7 linked regions of the Rattus norvegicus genome follow. The main gene of each other region encodes a partner of the protein of the gene in region 3 in a complex. Links are inferred from orthologs where the notes say so. Each region holds a gene or a part of one and is shown on either strand. Other genes may lie near its edges. The genes, in order: Taf4, Taf11l1, Taf6, Taf7, Taf5, Taf10 and Taf13.

Region 1 (3,500 bases), on a different chromosome or scaffold from region 3:
CTTCACTCACAACACCCTTCTTTCCACACTTGCCAGAAATGGCGGTGAGCACAAGCCAGTGCCTGGTGAGCAGCTAGGAGGGGGCAGCAAGCTGAGCCTGAGCTGCAGATGGGGTTTAACTTGCCTTTGCTGCCCGCATCAAGATCTCCCTCTCCTGCTCATCTTTCCTCTGCTTTTCAATCTGATCCAACTGTTCAAAGAACTTGAGCTGCGCCCGGACATCACTCGCTTGCTCATATCTGTCGTCATCCTACCAAAAAAAACCCAAAAAGTTAGTACAGACACTGTCAGCGGTGGATTCGGTACTTCAACAAGCATGGATGTGCCTGGCACAGCTGGACATGGTGTGGCAGTTGCTCACATCCCACTGCTCCAGTCCCGACCTCACAAAGACAGGAAGTCTCGTCCAGTTACCAGGAACCCACGAAAGGCCCAACTTGATACACTTTGGCATTTTGAAGCCATATTTAAGTCCTTCTGTATAGAAGTGTCTGTCTATTTTTGTTTTTGAGACAGGGTCCTCTGTCCAGCCCTGACTAGCCTGGAACTCACAATTTTAGACCAGGCTGGGCTTGAACTCACAGAGATCCATCTTCCTCTGCCTCCCGAGTACCAGAAATAAAGGTGTGCACCACCAAGTCCAACTTTCGAAGTGTTTTAAAGCTGACAATTTACCACGGGCTGCTCTGAATGTTCAGACACTGACTCCTTCATCTGTGCAAGTGCTCAAGACGTATTCTGGCTGAAAACCCACTTCATATTCATTCATTCATTCATTCATTCATTCATTCATTCATTCATTCATTCATTCTCTCCCTCTCTCACGCACGCACGCACGGCGGACAGCCTGTAGTTGTAGCTTATGGCTCGAATAGGCCAGGCTGCAGGACCTGGCTCTTTAGATGGAGTAAGAGCACAAGACTCCGTAATCTCCTACGCTCACAGCCCCGTCTCCCGACGCAGGAGCACCTGAGCACACCTGCAGGTAGTGTGTGTGGCTAACAGTGAGCACAGGAACAACCAGGACAACAGGGCTTCCAGACAGCCCAGGTCACGCGGTGAGAACACGAACATTCTCCCCAGGAAAATAGCCTCATTACCTTATAAGAGAAGTTTTTCTGCTGAGCCGTTTCAGATATCTTTTCTACAAGATTCTGCAGCCTTTGCTGTGTGGCATGAGACACGTAACTCACTACATCTGGATGCAGTTCCGTGATGCCGTGCTTTTTACCTGCAGGCCATGCAGAAAAAAGCACTTTATGGTACTTACCCAGCTTCTCTTTATCACGGCCCTGGCTTCTCTCACCCACTAGTTACTGCTTTGTACAATCAAAGGCAGTCTAAGCAGGAAGCAGACTGTCACTGTCCACCTTCTACTACCTGCCAACCAACAGTGGAGTCTGTATAGGGTGAGCCCAAGACAAGGCAGTGGGGCTACAGCAGAAAGGTCGGACTGCGTCTCGCCAGGGTCATGGAACACATCAGACAGACAGGGACTCTCGGCGTCCCAGTGGCGTCACCTGCTGCAGCCGTACCTATTTCTAGTATCCTCCTCTGCAAAGGCGCGGGGAGGAGGAAGGTGTCATCTTTACAGGATCGGGTCAATGTCCCCACCAACTCAGAGTTTGTGGCCAATATTCTTGCACTTTCTTCAGACAGGTTCACTCCAGCCATTGACGCAACATCATTGATGTCGTCATCATCCCTGTGAGAAGAGAGGAACATTCTTGTGGCATTAGGAAATCACAGCTCACTCAGGTGGTTCCAATTCAGTGGCATCTTGCAAGGGGCAGGGAGCAGCAGAAGGGCACTGAGATGAACAGACAGACACACACACAGTCACACACACACACAGTTACACAAACACACCAGGCTCCTACACTGGCCTTGTCCTTTGTTTGACAGTGTCTTGCTGCCTTGTTTGAAAACTGAAGTGTTCAAAGGAAGAACTGTGTGAGGTCACAGCTAAACTGAGTCCACAGAGAGCTCTGTGCCCACCGTCCACAGTCTGTCCCAAGAAAACAAAACCCAGAACACCATCTGTTGCTTTGAAGACTCCATGTTACCTGAAAATTTCTCAAAGAAAGAAGAAAATTTCTTCTCTCAGTCGCAGCTTTCAGAGGAGTTAGAAGAGCACAAAACTCACTCAGAGCCAGCACAGAGTACTACCAGCCAGTCCCAGACAGATGTTTCCTTGTGAAAATGGACTAGCCTAAAAACCTGTCCACATGTGGCCACTGTCCCAAGACCAACCTCTTCCCTGGGGAGGTCTACATCCAGCAACAGGCCCTCCAGTGTCCCTCACTGAACACCCTTCAGCCTGTCTTTAACACATACGCCCTTGGTGTAGGACGACAGGAGAGTCCTCCTTGAAGCCTGACCCTTGGAAGTCTTCACTGAACTGCACTGCCCGTCCCACCCTGCTGCCTGTATGTGTGTGTGCTGAGAGTGACACCCAGTGCTAACCAGTACTGTGGAAGCATCCTGAAGTTTGAACACACACACATGCAACCTTCCTATTGCTTACAAGTCAATCATAGCTCACTTCTACTCAGCCTTTTGATCCTGCCCTATCTGATTAAGTGCTGACCATCCAGATGACCAGCGCAGCCTGGGCTATAGAAAGGAGTCCAGCCCACCTCATGTCACTACCTGAGCCCTGTCCTGACGTGATGAAGTGGGCACAGCTCACACTGTCGTTTGCTTGTCCCTGCTCTTAACCACTATCCCCTGAAGGGCAGCCCTGGTCTATACTGGAAAATGGCTTCTAGTAGGTAAGATATGAGTGACAGGAATGTGCCTAGGCTCTTCCCACAGACCAATTAGGAGCCCCAGCCTCCACTGCATTCCTAAGCATTCCTCCCTGCCCAGCTGGGACCCAAGACTGCGGCCAACCCTAGCTTACCCACGTCCCTAGCTCCAGCTTCCTCATCAACACTGGCCACAGCACCGAGAAGCGGGTAGTACAGGCGTTTATGCTGTACATACACACTTAGCCTCTCTCCCGATCCACTCAGGTGACCTGTCCTGATCTGCCTGGTTGCTCCTTACCCTACAGAGCCAATATAGTTCCCAACTCTCTCCAGCCCCATTCAATAGCTTCGAGGATGAAGAGGCTCCTGAAATTCAAACCACCCCCCACTGCTCAGTCAGAGCGAAGGCCAGAATTTGGCCTCTGGTGTTTGCACACAAGAATCTCAAGACATAGTAATGTCCAGAAAGGCTGTTCTGTTCATCAAGAGTCACAGTGAGCAGGGTGATGCGGGCCATTTGTGTTATAAACGGTAGTTACCTTGGTGCACTCTGTTGGCACCAAGTCAGATGACCTGTTCTCCATTTCCACAGAGGGCATGAGGCAAGCCACTCCTCTGCATCCACAACAGGAGCTCACACTGACAGAGGTGTGGTCAGACACAAGCAGAACAAGCAGTCCTGACACTACCAGGGCCAAGAGCCAGTAGGAAAGGCCTTGTAGTGAAGTCAGCAGATAACCTGAGCCC
Region 2 (4,061 bases), on a different chromosome or scaffold from region 3:
TTCGTAGGCACAATGTTTTTCGTTGTTGTTGTTTTTCTAGAAGTAATCCAAAAGAAAGCTCAGCCTTCTGCAGTAGGCATAAGGTGTGGCAAAGCCCAGTAGTAGGCTAATGAATTCAGATTAACCCCCTAAGGGGCCTCCTACAGGGCATGTCAAATTGAATTCAACCATTCTGGGTCAGGGTCAGAGAAACTCAGCCCCAGGGCAATTAAAAGTTTTGTTTTGTATTTTTAAACAAGGAAAAAAAATCCAAGTTTTATTGGAAGGACAATAAGTTTTGTCTGCAACAAAATAAAACAAAGTTTCCCACACAGGTTGGAAAAGTTTAATAATCCCTCACAAAATACACAGGACAACCTGAAATGTTAACGGTGAGAATCGAATTATGGTGTGACTGTCTTCACAGCAGATTATTGAGAAAGTTTGTTTCGAAACAACCTGAATCTTAGCCACTTTAGGCTTCAATGTGAAACTGTAGTTGTCTTGTTTTTCTCTGAAATCATCTCCCTCTCCAGGAGATACTAACAGTCCCTGTGTATTTTTTCTTAAAAATAGCCAAGAGTCTGTGAAATTCTTCAACATGCCTGAGGACAGTCTATGACTGAGTGAAGGCAAGTCTGAGGCACACTACGTGCCTTGTAGGTGTAACAGAAACATTAAAGTCAGCATCAAGTGTCCTGGGCTCACCACCAACAAAGCCTCAGTACAGAAGCCCAACTATACGGAAAGTCTTGAACAGTCTCTGTTAGATCTAGAAGAAGGTGATTTTCTTGTGCTTTGAGCTGGGGATTTGCCCCTTGGACTTCAACCTCCGCACGGCCTCCCTCATGTGCTTGGGCTGCAGGGGTGGCATTTCTCCCCATTTCTCACACACATCCAGGGCTTCTTCTACCACCTCCCCGACAAAAACTTTAGAAATGCCAGACATGGCGATCACAACATTCTGAGACACAGAGGTGCCAGTGATGGACTGGATCAGCCTTTTAATGGCTGCCTTCGGGAAAGCTGACCGGCGATACATTTCATAACGGTTCAGCTGCTCTTCAGAAAAAGAAGAGACCAGGATTTGCATCTTCTGAATCTCATCTTCGTCCACCTTCTGCTTCTTCTCCTTCTTGTCTTTGGTTTCTAGTTTCAGCTTTTTGGCTGCAGGAGTAAGAAATGAGTCTTCCCTCTCAACTGCTGTCAAACCTGAGACATCCTGACTCTTGGTCTCCCTTTCCTCTGCCGCGGCTTCTTTCAAGTCCACGTCTCCATCCCTATCGGTTTCCTCAGGGATTCCCTCAGTGTCTGCCGCTAACGGGTTCCCAGGAGTAGCCCTCGACTCCTCTGACTCCCCGCCTTTGTCCGTGGGCGACTCTCCAAGGTTTTCCATCGCGACAGGAGGGGGTTAGAGGCGAAGGCAGCGCGGCCGGGCGAAGGAGTGAGGGTCAGCGAGTTTTGCCGCGGGACTTATATTATAGCTGAGGCTTATGGCTTGGAGCTGGTCCTTATTGCTTGTGGTCGCGCCGCGATGACGTCACGCCCACGGCTCCTGGGAGGGGTCATTTTCAGAGTCTCGATCGCTCAGGGTCTTCTTGTATACTGACTTTGTTTTAACCAGAAAGAAATGTAAAAGTATAGATCCTCCGCTTTAGGGTAGAAGCGTGTTCGAAAGGGCGTACAATTCGTTTACCGAGAGACTTCTTTTTTTCCTTCCTTCCTGGAAATGTAATGCCAATTAATCCGTTAACTTGAGCGCAAAGTCCGGAACGGGGCGAAAACTCCGTCCGGCTGCTTGTTGCTGCCTTGGACTGAGCAATTTCCGGCAGAGACTCAACCTCGTATTTTCCAAAGAACTGAGATCCGCGGCTTGGGTCCACCAGGGAACTGCTTGGGCTTCTCTTCTGTACCGCAAGCATCTCTAGTGCCAATAGAATATATCCAACGATTTCATTCAATGCTTCAACTATTGGCTACCTGCCTCCCGTCAGAACAGAGCTAGTATCCCGTTCCCACATTTCTTTTGTTTCTACAGTGCCTGGACCAATGAGGATCATTTCCAGTCCCATGAGGTTCCCAAATCTTTGGGAAGGCGAGCACTTCGGGAAGCTCCTACAAGTGTGCCCACTTCGTTCTTCCCCAGCTGTCGAATGGGCGGTTTCGCTGGGCGTGGACCGCGTCTGCGCCAGGTCTGCACTGCACACAATTAAAATATTTAATGCCTGTTGTTGACACTGCTCAGGTCTGGTGCATCAAGTCAGAAGCAGTCAGTCACAGGGATGGAAGTGTTTCTCATGATCCGGCACAAGAAGACCACCAACTTCATTGAGGCCAAGGAGTCGAGCACATGGTTCACTAAACAGGTAGCAAAGCCACAGGCCCTCAGTCACAGTGGACCTGGCTTTCAGAGCAGACGATGCCTTTGAAGGCCTGCAATATTTACACCTTTTCTAGTTCTCCACAACACGAGACGCGATGAAGAATTCTTGGGGGGTTGGGGATTTAGCTCAGTGGTAGAGCGCTTGCCTAGGAAGTGCAAGGCCCTGGGTTCGGTCCCCAGCTCCGAAAAAAAAAGAACCCCCCCCCCAAAAAAAAAAAGAATTCTTGGAACAGGGGTTGGGGATTTAGCTCAGTGGTAGAGCGCTTGCCTAGCAAGCGCAAGGCCCTGGATTCGGTCCCCAGCTCTGAAAAAAAGAAAGAAAGAAAAAAAAAAAGGAATTCTTGGAACAGTGCTAAGGAACAAGATGTGCAACGAGGGCCCCAGGCTCACTTCCTAGGGACCCATTTCCCAATAAAGATTTGGCTGACTTTTTTTAAAATTAATGTGTTTATTTTATGTATATGAATACAGTGTAGCTATCTTCAGACACACCAGAAGAGGGCATCAAATCCTATTACAGATGGCTGTGAGCCACCATGTGGTTGCTAGGAAGAACAGTCAGTGCTCTTAACCACTGAGCCATCTCTCCAGCTCTTGGCTGTCTTTTTAAATAAAAAATAAAGAACTCACATTGCTCTGATGTCATACTGCATTCTGCCTCTGCTGGAGGTGTCTAGCAGCCACCATCATGCCAGCCCTGAGCGGCATAACAAAAGCCAGAACAGGGGGTCCACAGTGAATGTTTCCCTTCTGGATGATGTCAGGCACTGCTACCCACAGAACTAGAATGGGAACAGAGGGGTCTGGGTTGAATGGTGTGGTTCCCAGTTTCCTCTCTGGATACCTAGGCACCGCTGGTGAGGAAGTCAGAGATGGGGTGTCTACATTTGGTTGCTGGGAATTGAACTCAGGACCTCTGGAAGAGCAGTCGGGGCTCTTAACCACTGAGCCATCTCTCCAGCCCGTGACCTTGAGTTTTATGGTTATATATATTATGGTTATATTTTGTCTTGATTGTTGTATTGTGTGCCTCCTTGGATTCCTGGTCTCAAGGACTTTCGGCTGGGTCCAGTCAGGACACATCTGCTCAGCATTTGCTTCATTCTTCCTGCCTCCTACCCCCAAGGATAGCTCAACGCCCATGTACAGCTTGAGGAAGTTATGGAGGAGTCGTCGCCCCAATTCCCTGGACTTTTGGGGGGCTGAAAGCAGTTATTCTAAAGTTGTTTTTATGAGGAACTTAGAAATGGTTGTAATTTAACAGGGAGGAATTAGCTAGATTGAGTTGTAGAGTCATTATCTCATTTGGTAACTAAGCTAAAATCATATCTTTGTTTTGGTATAGAATTTATTTGTCAAAAAAGTTTAAAAGTACAAGGTTTAGAGCCAGTCCTTCTAATTATGTCAATACAAACTTCTGAGTTGATTACATATGTGAGTTAAGGGCCAAATAGCACATTCATGGCTCTGACTTTGTGAGAGCACTTTCAAGATAATATTAAGATATGAAGGGGCTGGGGATTTAGCTCAGTGGTAGAGCGCTTACCTAGGAAGCGCAAGGCCCTGGGTTCGGTCCCCAGCTCCGAAAAAAAAGAACCAAAAAAAAAATATTAAGATATGAAAACAACAGTCCAGATTGTCTTATATAGATGGATGGTCTTCAAAAACGTCAGAAATCCACAAAATTTGAGACTTAAAG
Region 3 (4,090 bases):
CCTTGATGCGGTAGCTGACCTCATCTGTCAGTAGCTGGCAAGTCTCCTCCTGAATCTGAGCAATGCCCATGGATTCTGCCACCACCTTCATAGACTCGGAGGGCAACACGGTATTGCTGAGTTTCAGTTTCTTCTCCTCAGCCATGCTGGAGTTCCAGCTCCTGTCCCTGGAAGGATGTCACCCCAGGGTGGAGAGATGGAGATCCTAAGAGTGGGATGTGGCAAGACAAAAAGGAAAACAGTTCAAAGCCTCCATCTGCGTTCTCTCCTTACTTACAGCTCACCGTCAAAGCAAAGCTACCAAACGGCTTGCTCTGTCTTTTTTCTTTTAGACACAGGGGCTCACTATGGAGCCATAACACTTCTAATTCCAGCCCCCAGCTTCTGCCTTTCAAGTACTAGGATTATAGGCATGTAGTAACATGCCCAGTGACAATTTTTTTGTTTGTTTGCTCTTACTTTTGTGGATAGGTTTCTTTAGCCATGCCCTAAACTATGTAATAAAAGGTAAGTCTTGACTCTGGATTCTTTTGCTACCTTCCTAATTCTAGGATTATAGACGTACCCCGACAGTTTTGTGGTGCTGGGAAATACTTTAAAAACTGAGCTACATCTCCAGACCCAGTTTGTCCCCTACCCTTCTACCCTGAGGCTGTGTAACCCCAGCTGACCTGGAACTTGCTCTATAGACCAGGCTGGTCTCACATTCAGAGATCCACCTGCCTCCGCCTCCTGGATGATGGGATTAAAGGCCTGTTCTCTCTCTGTCTCTCTCTGTCTCTGTCTCTCTCTCTCTCGGGCCTCTTGTAGTCCGGGCTGGTCTCTTACTCCATATGTGCTGAAAATGTCCCTGAACTCCTGGTCCTGCTACTTCCCAAGTGCTGGGACTATAGGCATGTGTCACCACATCCAGCACAACTCATTCTTATCTGGACGCTTGAAACAAATCCATCAAGTAAGGGCTGGAAGATATAGCATGTATATGGACCTGGGGTTGATTCCCAGCATGGTATTAAAACCTACCAGGCAGTCCAACCAGACCCTTTTTGGCCTATCTGCTGAACTCAGTTGCTGGACAAGGTGTTCCTATTTCTATCTTACTTTTTTTTTTTTTTTTTTTTTTGCATTTGTTCCTTAAAACCAAAGTGGTTTTAAGTGTCAAAATATAAAGCAGATAACTATTTCTTTCCTATAATGGTTCCCCTTTTGACATAAAACCCTCCCAAGGCCTTCCCTTCAAGATCTGTCTCTTGTCCAGTTCTGCGGGTCAACCCTTCTGATTTCAGTGGACTGCCTTGAGTTTTATACCAGGTCATGCTTCAGAGTGAGACCCTACATCTGTACACTTGTAACCCCAGCACTCTGGAGGCTAAAGTGCACAGACAGCAAGTTTGAGTCTTGCCTAAGTGGTTTTTCCTTTTCCTTTCTTTTCCTTCATACGTCTGATCACCTATCCCTCCTTTTCCCATTTAACCTGTCACACATCATTCTTCTTGCTGTCCTTTAAATCTGACAGGTATGTAGTGTACTTGGCTTTATAACTTTTGTTGTGTTCTTCCTAAATGTGTTTGGCTGACTACCTTATCTGACCCCATCCACCTCTCTTTAGGGGCAGGTGGCCCCCAGCCCAGACTGGTTTCAAATTCACTATGTAGACAACACTGGTCTTAACTCCTGGTCCTTTGGCCTCCACCTCCCAAGTGCTGGGATTATAAGCACATACCACCATGCCTGGCTTTACTTGTTTGCCAAAATTTCTTCTAATAATAAATGATATATATTATATATATGTATTCTATATAATCACTCTAGATTAAATCTAAGCTTTCCACATGTTAAGCAACCCTTCTACAATTGGGTCTCAGGCTTGTCTGGAACTCATTCTGTGGCCTTGATTTGGAGATCCTCCTGCCTTTTACAGCTGTTTACCGCCAAGCTATTATTTTTCTTGTTTATTATTCTTACCCCACCAGTAGACAGGATTATGTCTGTTATGTCCGCTGACCAATCTGGTGCCTAGATTGACTAGTACCTAGGACATTATTAAATATATGAATTTTAAGTCCTAAAGGTGTAAGTGTTCACTAAATACTTGGTATAACAATTACCAAAATGAAAAAGACACAGACCCAAGCTTGGAGTTTACTCTGTGGTCAAATGGAAAGGAGCTTGCCTGACACTGGACATGAGGTCAACCTCAGGAGTGTTCAGAGCTGAGTGCTGGGGAAAAGGGGTGTGTGTTTGTGTGTGTGTGCCAGGGTGGGGGTTGGGGGTGGAGGCCAAAGACCCTGGTTCTTTCCATCCCAATTTTTCTCAGACTTTTGTTAAATCTTGTCTACAGGAAATACAACTATTCAGCACATACTCTGAACCTGGTGCCAAGTATACAAGAGGCAGTTGGGTCCCAGTCCCCTGCCACTAAGGGTTCATAAAACACTAACACCCTCCGGAATTTCTCAGATCAGTGGAAACGACAGGAAGACTTCTCAGAGGACGGATAACTTGAGCTATATCTGTGCATCATTTTCCTCAGCAGGGAAGTGATTCGAAGATTCCCCGGGCAGCGCTACAGGAGGTTCACAATCTACTACATCTCCCCAACATCCTTCCAGTGCAATCATGCACAGGGTCCCCACTAGCACGGACACACAACCAACCGTCTTCTTCCCAGTCCTCACATGGGCCCTTTCAAAGGGTCTCCTCCCGGGTACACCTCAGACCTTCCCCCGCCAGCCAAGCACCGGGAGCAGTAAAAGCTTCTCACCGCTGCCAAGGCGCCGCTCACCCGGCGCTCGGCGCCATCTTGGCCCCGCCCCCTGGCAGTAGTAGGTCCTGGCAGAAGCCAAGAACTTATCACTGCTCTTCCCTATGTCAAAATAGACCATATCGTTTCACAGTCTGGAATTATTTAAAAATTAAATTCTACGTGTATATGTAAAGATCACATTACTCTATTCTAATTTCTTCAATTTGTATCTTCACTACCCAGCTGCCAGGACCTTCAGGAGGCGCCACAAAAGTAAGGCCGGGAAGCCTGGAGCCATTAGGCTCCACCCACTTTCGGGCTAACTTTGGGCATGCGCTGACCGTCCCCTGTAAGTTTTTTTTTTTTTTAAAGGCTTGCTGCCGGCTGCGCCTAAGTTTAAAGGGCCCGCTCCCTTTCAGAAGTTAGTCTGAAGGCAAGAGGTGGTTGTGTGTATGTGTGAACTGCGTTTTGTCATGGGACCTGTGCGGTTGGAAATACTGCTTTTCATCCTGGCAGCGTACGGTGCTTGGACTGGAATGACAAAAGAAGAAGAAGCTGATACAGAACGTTTGCCCAGCAAATGCGAAGGTACAGAAATGGAGCAGTTGCTATTTGCATCTCCTTATCCTAGCTCCTGCCTTTAACTCTAGGCTGAATCAAATGGACTAGGATAGATGGGTCACTCAACTGTCTTGAAAGAGGTTCTGTTGGAGCTTGGTAACACTTGAATGGGAACGAGGGAAGGAGAGCAGTGTTACGGTGGCACTACATTTCCCAGGTGGCATCCAGAAGGAGCTAGGTTTTTCTTGCGGGCTTGGGCTTGAATGGATTGTGGGAATTGTAGTTCACGAACCTGTAACGCTGGCTCTACCGAGCATCTTTCTCAGTGCGTTTCCCTACTTGTTAAAAATCTAGACAACTTGCATGGGTGGGGTGTAAGGTTCATACCTTATAGACGTACTGTGCCCCGCCCTGGCAGAGACGCTCGCAAATTACAGGCCTGATGACCCCCTTCAGGGGTTTAAAGGTGAGTAAGTCCCCAGCTGAAGCTCATAAACAAAAGATGGAGACACCATCATACCACTTAGAAGTTGCCCATCAGTGTGAGACTTTGCAGATGGGTTGCACTGTAGGGATTTTACAACAAGCAGCACAGCCCCTGGCTGCATCAGTAAATGCCCCCCTCCCCACTCTACTCCCAACAGGGAGGAAGCCAGGTCACTGAATAAAATATCCTGTGGCTCCCTGACATTAACTTTTTCTTTGGATTTATTATCGTTTCACTTTACACCCAACAACATTATTGTCATTGTTACCCATGACTTTATTCTAATCTCTCATTTT
Region 4 (4,141 bases), on a different chromosome or scaffold from region 3:
AAATGCCTCAGAGAAAAATTCTATGTATGAAATTTTAAAATACCAGACCTGGTAACAGGCTTTCATAGTGGCAAATACTAATGAAATAACATGAACAAACATGCCTATTAAAAAAGCATAGCAATTAAAATGGCAACAGTTAAGAATATAATCTTAATCTAAGCAAGTGGAATAGTTCATCTGATAACTGTTTAACTGCTTCCAGTATTTTATAGATAACTTTAGTGTTTAATAAAAAGATATAGACAGATATCCTTCAATGAAAAGTAGGATAGTTTAAGAAGGCTCTGGACCGAGTGTTCACAAACCTCCAGATGGTGTAGGTAGGCCTGAACCATAATCTATAATGCAAAGATGAATTTCTCCATTTCCTTATCTGGTGTATTCCTTTTCTAAAAAGGCAAAACAACAGCATGTATCTTGATCTATACCACTCAGCCATTAAACTCCATGAGCTCACCTCAACTTTCAGTATTCATTGAAGAACAAGATAAGCAAAGTGAAAATTAGTAACTTTTATTGTGCAAAAAACAACTTTTATGAAAAAACTTGCATTTCTGTAACATGGAAACTTGCTGAGAAGGTAAAAAAATATATTTCTTAAAAAAAAAACAAAAAAAAAAAAAAAAAACACTCCATTGCCTGTAGGCTAGCTAGCTTCTTACTGATCTTAGCACCGAAGAATAGGACTAGAAACTTAGGAAACAAATTGTAATAAAGTCCTATGGTGAAGTGATTAAAAGCTCAGTGTTGTCACTTCACTAACCTTACACTACAACAAATCTGCCTATGTAATCCTATTTTCTTAAGAGTGAAAACAATCAACACAATAACTCCTAGCATTACAGGAAATAAGAATATTTCAAAGAAAAAAGAAGAATTTTTCAAGACCTCACTCTGAAAATAAATTCTTCTTAAGCTGACTAGTCTAAGGACTAAAGTCAACCTTTTCACTTCTCCAGAAGTGATTCCAGCTCTTCTTGCAAAGAGCTAAGCTGCTCCTTTTCCCGGTCTTCCTTCTGTTTGAGCTCATCCAGAACAGCTTGAAACCTGTTCTTCAGAGCCAGGTTTTCTACCTTCATGATGAGATCCTCCTGGCGCTTTGCTCTGTCTTGGGTTTCTTGAAGCTTGCCTTTCATATTATCAATCTGCTTCTGAATCCCCATAACCAACTGATTGGTTCCTTCATTTTCTTGGTGTTGTTCATCTGACTCATTTAGCTTGTCCTGTAGCTGTCTCTCCAGATCCTCTTCAGTGTCAATGATGTTTACATCTTCTTCATCTTCGCTGCTGCTGCTGAGGTCATTGAATATCTCTCGAAGCTCATCATGCTCTAGTGAGTCATGGCCCTGCCTGTGGCCAGACATTCCAGGAGAGGAGATATCAAGGCCTTGATTTTCTGCCTCCTTTGTTTCATCTTCAGCAATTATCTCCCAACGAGTACTGACAGCTTCTGCATCTGTACTCAGCAGCCGCTTTACTTCTTTTTCCACATCTGGAGATTCAATGTACTTCTTCTTTGCTGTCTTCCGGAACCTTCTCTTTCTGACATTTTTTAGAGGTAGAGTAATTCCATGGTTCCAAACAAATTTTTTCTCTTTGTCCTTATCTTTTTTCTTGTTTGCTTTGGGATCAGCAGTAGCAGCTGGCTCCTCCACAGGAGGGTATAGATCACCATCTACTGTGGCTACAAGCATCTGAGAGATATCAGCTGTCTTGTAAAAGGTTTTTTTATCAATGGTTTTCAAGCTCTCCGTAACACACGGCAAATCTACCAATTTTGCAGCCAGGGGCACTCTATCCACTCTGACAATCCCATGACGCCCATCAGGGTGTAACTCAATGCTCAGTCTATCTTTCAGGTTGACGTGCCCAGACTGCACTGCCCTCCTCACAGTAGCGGCATATTCTGGGGGCAACCGTAAGATAAACTGGCTCTCTAGCTCATGAGGTGCATCATCTTTGCTCTTACTCATCTTCACTTCCTTGTGAATTACTTCTCCAATAAACACCTGCTGCACTAACAAGTTCCAGCTCCTACAACAGTTAAAAAAAGGACAAGGTTAAGAATAATCTTAAACTCTTAGTTACTGAGTTCTAAGGAAAACAGCAACTAAGTGGATCATCACCTACTGCCTATTTTGTCTTAATTTATAATTAAGTCCCAATACTAATCTCTAAACATGCATCCCACTTTGGCATTGTCCCTGTTAAACTCACACCTCTACTAGATGCAATACCAAATTAGGGCCTCTAGACGCCGCTGCAGCATCACGTGAACAGCCAAAGAAAACAGCAGCGCCTGAGGGGATTTTAGGCACAGTCCGTCCGTCTGGCAGGCAATCCCAATCCACGGATTCTCTCCAGTAAGAGATTTAAATAAAAGTCGTGAGCTCTTCGGCTCGGGTACTTACAGTTCACCAGCAACTATGAACTCAGCTTTTCTCGGCCTGAGTAAAGCAGCGATGAGCGGTGCGTCTACCTTCCAGTTTGTCCGCGCTTTCAGCCGCCCGGCAAGGCGACCTGAGCGCTAACAACGAAACGGCTCAGGACCCGCAGCGCGAAACCTCGCCACACTGCCGCTCAAACATCCGAACTCCGGAGAGGACCTTGCCAAGCCTCCTCCCACGCAGAAAAGAAGGAAAGAAAGTGCTACGGCAGTGAGCGGAAGCAGACGCGGCGCTACGTCAAAGACCGGAAGTAGACGCGGAGGGGCTGGCTGCCGCTCTTCCGGAAGTAGTAACGTCGCGGCGCGCGCAGGCGCATTCTCGTAATTACGTCGTCTCGTGACTACTTCTCGTGAGAACTTACCTTGTATAGGATTAAAACTAGTGTTTCCGGAAAAACCTTGGCTTGGAATTCAAAGATGAAGATTCCAAAAAGTAAAACATAAGCACACCCCCTAAGACAGCACTTTTATGAAGTCGTGGGTTAAGACAGTTTCTAGAGTGATTGCCAGAGATAAAGGGCGTCCCTGCAGAAAGCATCTTTTCTTCCCAGGGCATACCCGGTCCCTCCGCCAAAAGCTTTGGAAGCATCACAAAGTGAAAGTAAAGTGGCCAAAACAGTGGAATGATACAGTTTTGCTGTCTACCACATAACGCTGTGTATAATCATGTTAATTAGCTTTGAGAGGAACTAAGCCTTTAGCTTCGTTAGTATTTTTGGCTCCAGAGGACGAGGTGTGATATGTATGATACGCTATTTTGGTAATATGTTTGATAGATATAACTGTATACAAATGTTTTTATGATGACACAGGTTCATTAAGAACAGAATTGCCTTGCCTGAAACACAAACGTTCTGATTTTGTTGTTGGGTATCCACCAAAGAAGGCTGCTTGGACATAGTTTTAAGCCAATATAAAGTATTAGCTAGCCAGCGACTACATTGGGTGTTCTGGATCCCAGTGTGGCCCTAAGGCTTTCTCAGGGTGAGCTTTTAAGCACAAACAAATGTTCTACATTGGCATGTTTCTGTTACAAAAACCACTTTCCAGAGACAGAACTACAGAAGCCAAAAAACAAGGTTAGTACATTAGAGACTTTCTCAAAACTATGAAATTTGATAATTAGGTCTGTTTTTGTTTTGCCCATTGGTACTGTCTGTACTGTTAGGGTTCTCTAGAGTCACAGAAATTCTGGAATGTCTGTATACATTAAGGGATTTTAATGTAATGATTTACAGTCTGTAGCCCAACTAACCCAACAATGGGCAGCTGTGAATGGAAAGTTCAAGAATCTAGTTTCTCAGTCCCACGAGGTTAGTTCTTTCACCCAGTCTTCTGTATAAACTGGAATCTTGAAGAAGTGGGTACCAACAGATGTGCTGGCAAGTAAGAAGTAAGTGCAAGCAATTGAAGAAGTGTGAGTCTTCCTTCTTCCAATGTCCTTATATAGGCCTCCTGCAGAAAGTATAGCGCAAATTAAAGGTGTGCAGCACCACTCCTGGATCCAGAACTTGGCTTATCCCAGCCTGGCCTGGAATTCAGAGATCTGTTTGTCTGGGATTAGAGGTGTGTACTACCTTGCCTGGACCTAAGCTTTTCATAGTCACTATGCCTCAAGATATCCATGTGTCTTCTAGCCTCAAGACCTGAATCACAGGTGTGCCCTCCATTTCTGGATTGTGGTTCCTTCCA
Region 5 (2,993 bases), on a different chromosome or scaffold from region 3:
TAAAGTTAAAACTGTGATATCTGATGATTATTTGCCTATAACTTTTAAGAAAACCTTAGTGAGGCTGGCAGGGCCTCACTAAACCTTAGTAACTCGGTAGATAAAGGCAAGTGCTTGCCACCAGACATGCAGACTTGAGTTCAGTGTTCACAGCCCACATGGTTGAGGAGAACTGACCCTACATATTGTTCTCTGACATATCCCTGTGTGATGGCATGCATGCTTAAATTCACTTCATACAAGACTGAGGCAGGAGGATCACTAAGTTCAAAGGAGCCTAAGCTACACAGTGAAGACTCTGTCTCAAAAATTAAAACACAGTGCTGAATAGAGGACTCTGGTTGAGAGCACTGCCCATTGCTGCAGAGGACCTGGATGAGATTCCCACCACCAGCCATCACTCTAGTTCCAGGGATCCAACACATGCATGTGGTACATTTTTATCATCCAGGGAAAGCATTGGTACATACAGAAAACAAAAGGCAAAACACAGAACCGAAACCACTCCTAAGGTCAGGATTTTAGATGCTTTTGATAGCTATTTTTCCTAAACAGTTAGGTTTATATTGTTTTAGGATTTGTATAGCTTCCTTTTTATGAAATGTGATGGACAGACTGGTTGTCATACTGAGTAACTGTATGGTCTAGCAGATTAACTGTTTGGAAGATTTCATTTTTTTCTATATGAGGGGACAGATCACTTAATTTAGCATAGTGTTGTTGGTAAAGAGGAAGAAATGTTGAAATGTTAGTTCTGAATTATGAGAGATTGCCTTAAATAATATACCTAAAATACTATTTCTGGACCTTTTTAGATCTTAGTCTTATAGACAAAGAATCAGATGATGTCTTAGAGAGAATCATGGATGAGAAAACTGCAAGTGAGTTGAAGATTTTGTATGGTCACAGTGGGCCTGTCTATGGAGCCAGCTTCAGTCCGGATAGGTAAAATTCAAACACAATTAAATGCTGATGAACAGTGCTGAGATTTCAAACTTAACTGCTGGAGATGAAATGCAAATGCCAAACATTATGGTTGCCTGTAGTTCAGTATCTTTCAGAATTAGAATCTTACCATTTGCTAATATATGTTGGGGACTGGAATATAACATAGCACCTAAGTGTATACTGAATATACAAAAATCAGGATATACATTCATGGCTTCACCAGTTTCAGAATTTAGCTTTATTTTTGAATAACCCTCTGGAAGAGGTTGAATTGTTCGAGTTTGTGGATTATTCTTATGGAACTTCCTAACACTTAAGAGAAATTGCTCATTAAAAGCTATCAATGGAAGCATTTAGGTATTTTAACAGGAAAACAGAAGAAAGCTGGGTGTCATAGTAAGTGCCTGCCATCCCAGCCTCTCTGGAGGCTAAGGCAGGAAGGAGAATTGTGGTTCAAGGTTCACTGGGTATCACAGCCAGACCATGTTTTGAAATAGCATGTGTTTAGGTATTTCTTGATTTTCATTTCTAACTTTCTGCAAAAATGGCTGGGAAAGGGTGGTTTCACCCATATTATCTTGTGTATTCTACTTAGTAGTTTTTGACCACCAGAGTTTTCATTGTACTTGTGAGATCTTGAGAAATAAACAAAACAAAACCAGTACCTAATAGGATTTAGCCAAGTGGTACATTTCACTTGAAGAGAATGATTTCAGTGAAAACTGTTGGCTTTTTTATTTATCCCTGAAAAAGGTGGAACGTTAGTATTCTGCAGGGGAATGGCGTCCTGGTTGAACACAGGGCCTCCAGCACATACTAGGTGTGCACTCTGCTATTGAGCTGTACCCGACTCCTTCTCTCTATTAGATACAGTCCATGCTGACAGCAAATCACATATTCAGAACTGATGCACCTCATTTCTAGACTGTCTGGTAACCGCACTGCTTATTAGCCTCAGTACTAGTTTCTTAGTGTTTTGAACACAGGGTCATCACCTGAGTTCTGAGGTTACACATGCGCTATCACACTATTTTTTTTCTTTTTTCTTTTCTAAAGCACTGTGACCCCTCCCCATAGTCTTGACAGGTTTTTTTGTTTTGGCTTGTTTTTTTTTTTTTTTTTCTTTCATTATTAGCTTTATATAGTTAAGTGTTGAGGATATACTTCGACATGATTTCACTTAACATTAGTTTAATACTTTTAGCTTTTGTTATCTACTGTGAATTCTAAGAATAGAGAGGTGGGGCTGAGATGGCTCAGTGAGGAAAGTGCTTGCCATGTAAGTGTGAAAATCAGATTTTAGATCTCCAGCACCCATATAAATGCTGGCCTGGCGGCCCTCCTGTGATCCCAGTGTTCTAGACCTGGAGCTGGGGTTGCTGACAAGCTCTGGGTACATCTGGGAGATTGATCCAGGGAAGACTCCTAAATATACCCATGCATCCTGCATTCCACACACAGGTGAGGGAGCTGAGGATGTGTAGCTCAGTGGTAGAATGCCTGCCTGCCTGCCGTGTGCAAGGCCTGAGGGTGAGTCCTCAGCACTCTGCGCCCACTCCCAGGAGCATGTGCACGCACACACTAATGTAACATAGGTGCATGTCAGTTGTTAAAATGTGAGGTTGGGAGAAACTTGGACAGGTAACTAGACTGTACTGAGAATCAGTCAGCACCGCCTCTTCTCCTCAGGAACTACCTACTCTCCTCTTCAGAGGATGGAACCGTTAGACTCTGGAGCCTGCAGACTTTCACTTGCTTAGTTGGATATAAAGGGCACAACTACCCAGTGTGGGACACACAGTTTTCTCCATATGGATATTATTTCGTGTCAGGAGGCCATGACCGCGTAGCTCGGTAAGAACACTGATCTAATGGGGTTTACTCACTGGATATAACTGTATCTTGTCAAGAACACAAAGTCCAGCAAGCCGTATTTTCATGCTATTCAGGATTAACTTTTGGAGAAGATAATTCACAGCTGTAACTTGAAAATGTGAGAGGGGAATATTTCTCCCTCCAGGGTCTACACCGAGGGCCCTGCTTCC
Region 6 (2,949 bases), on a different chromosome or scaffold from region 3:
GTAAGCCCTTCCTGCAGTGTATACAGATCTATAGTAATCCTACCATTCAAGGGTCAAAGGCTTTTGCCCATATGATGAACTCAAATTCAGAAGCTCACCTTGTTCTGTATAATTTGCAGGTGGCACTGGAAGGCCTTCGGCCTACTATCCCACCAGGTATTTCCCCCCACGTGTGTAAGCTCATGAAGATTTGCATGAATGAAGACCCTGCAAAGCGACCCAAGTTTGACATGATTGTACCTATCTTGGAGAAGATGCAGGACAAGTAGGACTTGAAGGTCCCTGCCCAAACTTCAGAAGTATCAGCATATGGCTGGGGGAATGCACTTCCCCGAAGCTGAAGATCTCTGGTTGCCTCCCCTGTCTCTAATCATGGTACTACCCCAGTTATGGGGCTTGTTCCCTGCTCCCATCCCTACCACTGTAGCCCCAGAGAGGGCTGGGCTCAGAGCTTTGTCACTTGCCACTTGATGTCTCCCAACATGGGAGGGATCAGCCCCGCCTGTCACAATAAAGTTTATTATGAAAACAGGCTCATGTGGGGACAGAGGGGAAGACAAATACATCTGGGTTGGGTGGCTCAGGTGAAGTAGTGCGGCTTCTTCACATTGATGCCATACTCGCTGAGGGCAGGGGTCAAGTCCTCCATGGTTAGGGTGTACTTGCGATCCTGGGGGAAAGAGGGAAGACCACCAGCTGAGCACAGCAAGTCCAGATTCCAGTCCTTTGTGGGTAACCCTGAGTAGGCCCAATACCTCCCCTAGGATGCTGCTTCCCCAAAAGGCTTTCAGGATAAGTTAAGTCTGTACTGCTGTGGAAGGCGAACCTCTCACACCTTGCTCTTGCTCCGGGAGCTGCCAGAGGCTGTACCCTTCATTTTGCAGTGCTGTAGGGCATCATTGGCAATATCTGAGATGAATTTCTGGGCAGCTAGTGAGATGAGCCGAATTCTAGAGAGGAAGGGGGTGGTGGTAATGAGATATTTAACAAACTCCACCCAGCACTCAACAGTCTAACCTCTGAGTTTACTCACATGCGTGGGTCTGAAGCTTCAAAGCCAGCACGGTTCAGGTAGTAACCAGTCACTGCATCCGGGATCTGAAAAATCAAATAGCCGTCATTATTAGCTCTGCCTACTGATGCGCTGGGTGGGGAGGAAGAATAAAGAGACAGCTTCCTAGTAGAGGACGCTTGAAAGCATGAAGGTGCGGTTGAAAGGCACGACAGCGAGGCAGGTGGCCTTGTACAGGCGGGAAGCCCACCGTAGGTGTATAATCCTCCAACTGCATCAAGAAGTCCACTAGTGGTGTGCTGGACACTACGGGCTTCACTTCTCCGTTGGCCGCGCTCGGTAGGGCGTAAACCCCGTTAGACATTGCCCCCTCAGGGGGAGCCGCGCCGCCTGCTGCCACCGAAGCTGAAGGAGAATCAACAACACAGGTGAGAAGCGCAGGGTCCCCCCAACCCCCGCTGCGGCACCCAGTCGGAGATTCCCCCCTCCCTCACCCGGCCCGGAGCTCACCCGGTCCGCGCCGCTCCGCGGGCTCCCCTGCCCGTGCCGCCACGGGGCCCGTGCCTGCAGTGGCGACTCCAGCTCCAGGGCCCCCTGCTGTCCCCGCGGGGCTGGCTTTGCTCTCCGCGGCCGTGCTAGTGGGCAGCGCAGCGGGAGCGGACACCGGGGGCGCCGGACCCGCGACCGAGGCGGCACAGGCTGGCGCCGCCTCGGGGTCCGCGCCGGAGCCGCTGCAGCTCATGGGGCTGGTGGGAAAGGCGGCAACCAGAGCTACTTCCGCTTCCGCTCGCCCAGGCGCACGTTGCGTGACGTCACAGTTCCCGCCCCACCGCTTTAGTCCGCCGCGGGCGACCTTAGGTTGGCTGTTGGCAGATTAGGTGTAGACTGGCAGAGGTAAACTGTGAAAGACCTAGCCTCCACCCTGCGGCTCAACCCTGCCCAGATGGGACCGCGAAGAATCCAGGACTGCACACTTCATTTCATCTGGGTGCGCAGATTTGACTTGGGGACTCATATGTCAGATACTTCATTACCAGTCTCCTTAACAGTCTTCATTCTTTGTCGCTCCCTTTCACTGTCTTTAAGGATTTTAGTGGATTTGGTGTGTGTCCCTCCCACCCACAACGGTCCTAGAAGCGTGCTGCTGTAAATGTAGAGATAGGTGTTTCACCCCGAAGAAATAACATGCCAAAGTCACATGTGAAGCACATTAGCAATTCAACAGTCATTTATTTAATTTCTATTTGCCAACTACAGGGTTGGGACCTAGGAATACAAAGTTAAGAATCAGATTCTAGTTCACTAGCACCAAGCTCTGGAAAAGGAAGGCAGACAATTTTAATACTGTATGGTTGTTTCCCAGATACACGTAGGTGGAGTGCAAGGAAGTAGGGAACTAACATCAGCTGCTTAATTCCAAGTGTCAGACATTAGCAATGTTTATTTCCCAATTTTGAAGGCAGGTTTCAATGTCCCTGACTTTTACCCAGTAATCTTTGAAGGGTTTGCACAAATAAATATACTGTTTGGTTTAGAAGATGACTTACCCATGGTCAAGGATGCTGAGGGGCTTTGGAAGGCTCTCCCCTACCCAAGTACTTCCTGCAGTTTAGAGGAAAAAGGACATGGGCTCAAAGATAATGCAGTAGTGTGTGTGTGTGTGTGTGTGTGTGTGTGTGTGTGTGCGTGCGCGCGCGCGCGCGCGCGCGTGCACGCACGTTTGTGTATTTTCGAGACATGGTCTCACGTAGGCCTGGCATGCCTGGAACTCTTTGTATAGACCAGGATGGACTCAGAGAGGCTTGCCTGGTCTCTGCCTCCTAAGTGCTGGGATTAAAGGTGAGCATCACCACGCTAGCTGATAAAGACATATCTGGAGAAGTAGTCAGTAAAACTTGTTGAAGTTAGTAGGGAGGTGAAAAAAAATGAAAATTAAG
Region 7 (3,500 bases), on a different chromosome or scaffold from region 3:
TGGGTCACGCAACACTCTTGCTCTCTCACAGTGCGCTGTATGATGTATGGGTTTGGGGATGACCAGAATCCTTATACGGAGTCAGTGGATATTCTCGAAGACCTTGTCATAGAGTTCATCACTGAAATGGTAAGATACTTTGTAACTATCACTTTTTTGTTGTGTTGATTTTTGTAACTGTTAATTGAAGGTTTAAAATGTTAAGCTTTAGATAATGCTAGAATTTTTGAAATAAACTATCTGTTTGAGTGCCTGCTTTGTGCAAGTTCCTGGCTTCTATTTGCCCTTACTATGGATAGTACGTAAATGTATCTCAGAACTTCTGAGCTTTGTTTGTTTTATATTTCACTTGGTGTGTACAGGTGTTTTGCCTACAAGTATGTCCCTGTATGTTATGTGTGTCTGGTGCTCTTGGAGGCCAGAAGAGGGTGTTGGATTCCCTGAAATTGGAGATACAGACAGTTGTGAGCTGCCATGTGGGTGCTGGGCACTGAACTCCAGTTTTCTGGAAGATACCATTGTTCTTAAGCACTAAGATGTTTCTACAGCCCCTGAGTTTTATTTGTAAAAACATAGTATCTTTGAATAAAATTAAAAGTATTGCCCATAATCTCACCCAGCCTAAGTTCTTTCCCTTCCAGTATTTATTTAAAGGTATGTACAGGGGGTTGGGGATTTAGCTCAGTGGTAGAGTGCTTGCTTAGGAAGCGCAAGGCCCTGGGTTCGGTCCCCAGCTCCGAAAAAAAGAACCAAAAAAAAAAAAAAAAAAAAAAAAAGGTATGTACAGCTCATGGAATACCTTTGGGATTTTTAAAAAATTCTATTTCATGTGCATTGGTTTTATCTACATGTATGTTGTGTGAGGATGTCAGATACTTTGGAACTGGAGTTAAAGACAGTTGTGAGCTACCTTGTGGATGCTGGGAACTGAACCTGGGTCCTCTGGAAGAGCAGCCAGTGCTTTTTTTTTTTTTTTTTGGTTCTTTTTTTCGGAGCTGGGGACCGAACCCAGGGCCTTGCGCTTCCTAGGCAAGCGCTCTACCACTGAGCTAAATCCCCAACCCTGAGCAGCCAGTGCTCTTAACATCTGCACCATCTCTCCAGCCCCTGGTCTAACATCTTGAATGACCATTTTTATGGTTTTCTTCTTTTCCTTTGTTTGGATGGATTAGCAGGGGTGAGGTCACTGAGTTTGGTTGGTTTTAGTTCTTATGAGTGTTCACCCTTTACATTGGACCATCTCCTTACTACAGAATAAGTGAAAGGATTACTCAGCCAGGGCTGAGGCTGTTCGGTGTGTGTACAAGGGCCTGCACATGTGGCGAGTATTTAATCCAGTTTACCTCAGCTCAGGGAAAACATTAGCCATAGTAGTGCCAGATTATGCTAATATGCGTGTGCGAGGCCCTGGGCTCAGTCCCCAGCAGCATATTAAATGACAGAGCCTGCCATAGTGGCTCCTACCTGTAATCCCAGAATTCCAGAGAGAGTCAGGAGGATCTACTACAGGATGTAGCAGGTTCTAGGCCATCCAGAGCTACATAACAAGACTAGGATTTCAAACAAACAAATAAAATGAAATAAAGACATCTCTCAAACAAACAAACAGATAAAAACAAACAAAGCAGCCAGGCAGGAGAAGATGTCATTTCGGTGTGCTCGGCATTCAGGAGGCTGTGGTAGGTGGACCCCAGTTTTAAGACCAGGCTAGGTAGGCTAGGTAGTAAGACCCTTTCTCAACAAACAGAAACAAAGCTGAGCATAGTGGTGCATGCTTTTAGTTCTAGAAGTTGTAGCAGAGGCAGGAAGATTGCCTCATTTGAGACCAGCCTAGTTTCTGGATCCTGTCTCTATAAAAAACAGTCAGGAGGGGTTGGGGATTTAGCTCAGTGGTAGAGCGCTTGCCTAGGAAGCGCAAGGCCCTGGGTTCGGTCCCCAGCTCCGAAAAAAAGAACCAAAAAAAAAAAAAAAAAAAAACCAGTCAGGAATCAGAGATAAGTTGGCTTGAGTTCAAGGCTAGGCCAATCTACATAGTAAGTTCTAGTTATATAGTGAGACTCAAAAACATGTCTCAAAAACAAAACAGCAACAAAAATAATGTTATAATTGTGTCTCCAAGTATAGATTTTTTATATAAAAGATTTAAGCATTAGTCTTAGGATCAGTTTTATTATTTAGCCTCCCAAAACCTCCCTTCTTTCCTTCCAGCCTACTAAAGCCTAATTGTTATTTTCCTAATCTCTATTACCTACTCATTAGCCAACCCAGAACACATTTAACAAGACAAAAACTTCACCTATATCATAAAATAAAACAGAAGTATCTTCAAAAGTTGCTAGGTTTTTTTTTTTTTTTCCTTTTTCTTTTTTTTCGGAGCTGGGAACCGAACCCAGGGCCTTGCGCTTCCTAGGCAAGCGCTCTACCACTGAGCTAAATCCCCAACCCCAATTTGCTAGGTTTTGTTGTTGTTTTAGTCTGCCAGTCTGTCTGACCATCCATCTGCCTATCTGTCCATCCATCTATTTTTAAGGCAGGGTCTCGCTATATGTCCCTGGTTAGCTTGGAACTTGCTTTATAGACCAAGGCTTGTCTTGAACTCACAGAGATCTGTCTGTCTCTGCCTCCCAAGTGCTGGAATTAAAAGTGTGTATCACTCTGTCTAGCTCATTTTGGTAGTTTTATTGTCCGTAATGAAAAAAGAAGTCCTGTAATGCAGAAAGAAAATACTGTCGATTATGCAATAGAAAGGCGGTAAGGAGGGCTAGAGAGATGGCTCAGCGGTTAAGAGCACTGTCTGCTCTTCCAGAGGTCCTGAGTTCAATTCCCAGCAACCACATGGTGGCTCACAACCATCTGTAACGAGATCTGATGCCCTCTTCTGGTGTCTGAAGACAGTTACAGTGTACTCACATGCATGAAATAAATAAATTCCTAAGTAAGGAGATGATCAGACAGCTGGTTCACAAATGTAACACTAGCGTGATTAATAGAAAATTAAAACACAAAAATATTTGGCCCTTAAAAATTGATGTGTTTCCTTGTCATAGACTCATAAGGCAATGTCAATTGGAAGACAAGGTCGAGTGCAAGTTGAAGATATTGTCTTCCTAATTCGAAAGGATCCGAGGAAGTTCGCTAGAGTTAAAGACTTACTAACTATGAATGAAGAGTTGAAACGGGCTAGAAAAGCTTTCGACGAAGCCAACTATGGATCTTGACACCGTTTGTGATGCCCGGGATTTTGATATTTTCTGTGGAAACCATACATTGTATTTGTTGTCTGCAGTAATATCGTGATAGCTAGGCATGCAATGACAGAGGCCTTTGATTTTAGATTTGTAACGTGAGCCTTTTGTTGCCTGTCTTTATCTGACCATATTTGAGTTGCTTACTGGCCTTGAATAACTCCTAACTTAAAGTATTGCAAACCATGCAGTTCCACCCGAAAGGGGGAAGTAGTACTTATTCTTCAGGTAGACATGTGCATTCCAAGCTGTGTA

The links.
Region 1: Taf6 (region 3) and Taf4 share a complex: the UniProt entries of both Homo sapiens proteins name them as parts of the TFIID basal transcription factor complex. The link is inferred for Rattus norvegicus from reciprocal best matches to the Homo sapiens genes TAF6 and TAF4.
Region 2: Taf6 (region 3) and Taf11l1 share a complex: the UniProt entries of both Homo sapiens proteins name them as parts of the TFIID basal transcription factor complex. The link is inferred for Rattus norvegicus from reciprocal best matches to the Homo sapiens genes TAF6 and TAF11.
Region 4: Taf6 (region 3) and Taf7 share a complex: the UniProt entries of both Homo sapiens proteins name them as parts of the TFIID basal transcription factor complex. The link is inferred for Rattus norvegicus from reciprocal best matches to the Homo sapiens genes TAF6 and TAF7.
Region 5: Taf6 (region 3) and Taf5 share a complex: the UniProt entries of both Homo sapiens proteins name them as parts of the TFIID basal transcription factor complex. The link is inferred for Rattus norvegicus from reciprocal best matches to the Homo sapiens genes TAF6 and TAF5.
Region 6: Taf6 (region 3) and Taf10 share a complex: the UniProt entries of both Homo sapiens proteins name them as parts of the TFIID basal transcription factor complex. The link is inferred for Rattus norvegicus from reciprocal best matches to the Homo sapiens genes TAF6 and TAF10.
Region 7: Taf6 (region 3) and Taf13 share a complex: the UniProt entries of both Homo sapiens proteins name them as parts of the TFIID basal transcription factor complex. The link is inferred for Rattus norvegicus from reciprocal best matches to the Homo sapiens genes TAF6 and TAF13.

What each region holds. Positions count from the first base shown.
Region 1 is NC_086021.1:187,405,543-187,409,042, forward strand, and holds part of Taf4 (transcription initiation factor TFIID subunit 4), read right to left. Parts: intron 1,706-3,500; coding exon 1,536-1,705; intron 1,232-1,535; coding exon 1,101-1,231; intron 251-1,100; coding exon 125-250; intron 1-124. UniProt on the Homo sapiens protein: The TFIID basal transcription factor complex plays a major role in the initiation of RNA polymerase II (Pol II)-dependent transcription.
Region 2 is NC_086028.1:74,278,259-74,282,319, forward strand, and holds Taf11l1 (transcription initiation factor TFIID subunit 11-like), read right to left. Parts: upstream 2,801-4,061; 5' UTR 1,376-2,800; coding exon 752-1,375; 3' UTR 303-751; downstream 1-302. UniProt on the Homo sapiens protein: The TFIID basal transcription factor complex plays a major role in the initiation of RNA polymerase II (Pol II)-dependent transcription.
Region 3 is NC_086030.1:22,175,139-22,179,228, forward strand, and holds the start of Taf6 (transcription initiation factor TFIID subunit 6), read right to left. Parts: upstream 2,801-4,090; 5' UTR 2,765-2,800; exon of another isoform or gene 2,658-2,764; intron 206-2,657; 5' UTR 146-205; coding exon 1-145. Other genes in the region: Cnpy4 (protein canopy homolog 4), read left to right, coding at 3,199-3,334. UniProt on the Homo sapiens protein: The TFIID basal transcription factor complex plays a major role in the initiation of RNA polymerase II (Pol II)-dependent transcription.
Region 4 is NC_086036.1:29,710,676-29,714,816, forward strand, and holds Taf7 (transcription initiation factor TFIID subunit 7), read right to left. Parts: upstream 2,650-4,141; 5' UTR 2,415-2,649; intron 2,038-2,414; 5' UTR 1,977-2,037; coding exon 951-1,976; 3' UTR 501-950; downstream 1-500. UniProt on the Homo sapiens protein: The TFIID basal transcription factor complex plays a major role in the initiation of RNA polymerase II (Pol II)-dependent transcription.
Region 5 is NC_086019.1:255,909,774-255,912,766, forward strand, and holds part of Taf5 (transcription initiation factor TFIID subunit 5), read left to right. Parts: intron 1-815; coding exon 816-945; intron 946-2,637; coding exon 2,638-2,802; intron 2,803-2,993. UniProt on the Homo sapiens protein: The TFIID basal transcription factor complex plays a major role in the initiation of RNA polymerase II (Pol II)-dependent transcription.
Region 6 is NC_086019.1:169,506,440-169,509,388, forward strand, and holds Taf10 (transcription initiation factor TFIID subunit 10), read right to left. Parts: upstream 1,770-2,949; 5' UTR 1,755-1,769; coding exon 1,523-1,754; intron 1,418-1,522; coding exon 1,263-1,417; intron 1,099-1,262; coding exon 1,034-1,098; intron 951-1,033; coding exon 836-950; coding exon of another isoform or gene 830-835; exon of another isoform or gene 827-829; intron 671-826; coding exon 581-670; 3' UTR 501-580; downstream 1-500. Other genes in the region: Ilk (integrin-linked protein kinase), read left to right, coding at 120-269. UniProt on the Homo sapiens protein: The TFIID basal transcription factor complex plays a major role in the initiation of RNA polymerase II (Pol II)-dependent transcription.
Region 7 is NC_086020.1:198,899,832-198,903,331, forward strand, and holds part of Taf13 (transcription initiation factor TFIID subunit 13), read left to right. Parts: intron 1-31; coding exon 32-129; intron 130-3,047; coding exon 3,048-3,218; 3' UTR 3,219-3,500. UniProt on the Homo sapiens protein: The TFIID basal transcription factor complex plays a major role in the initiation of RNA polymerase II (Pol II)-dependent transcription.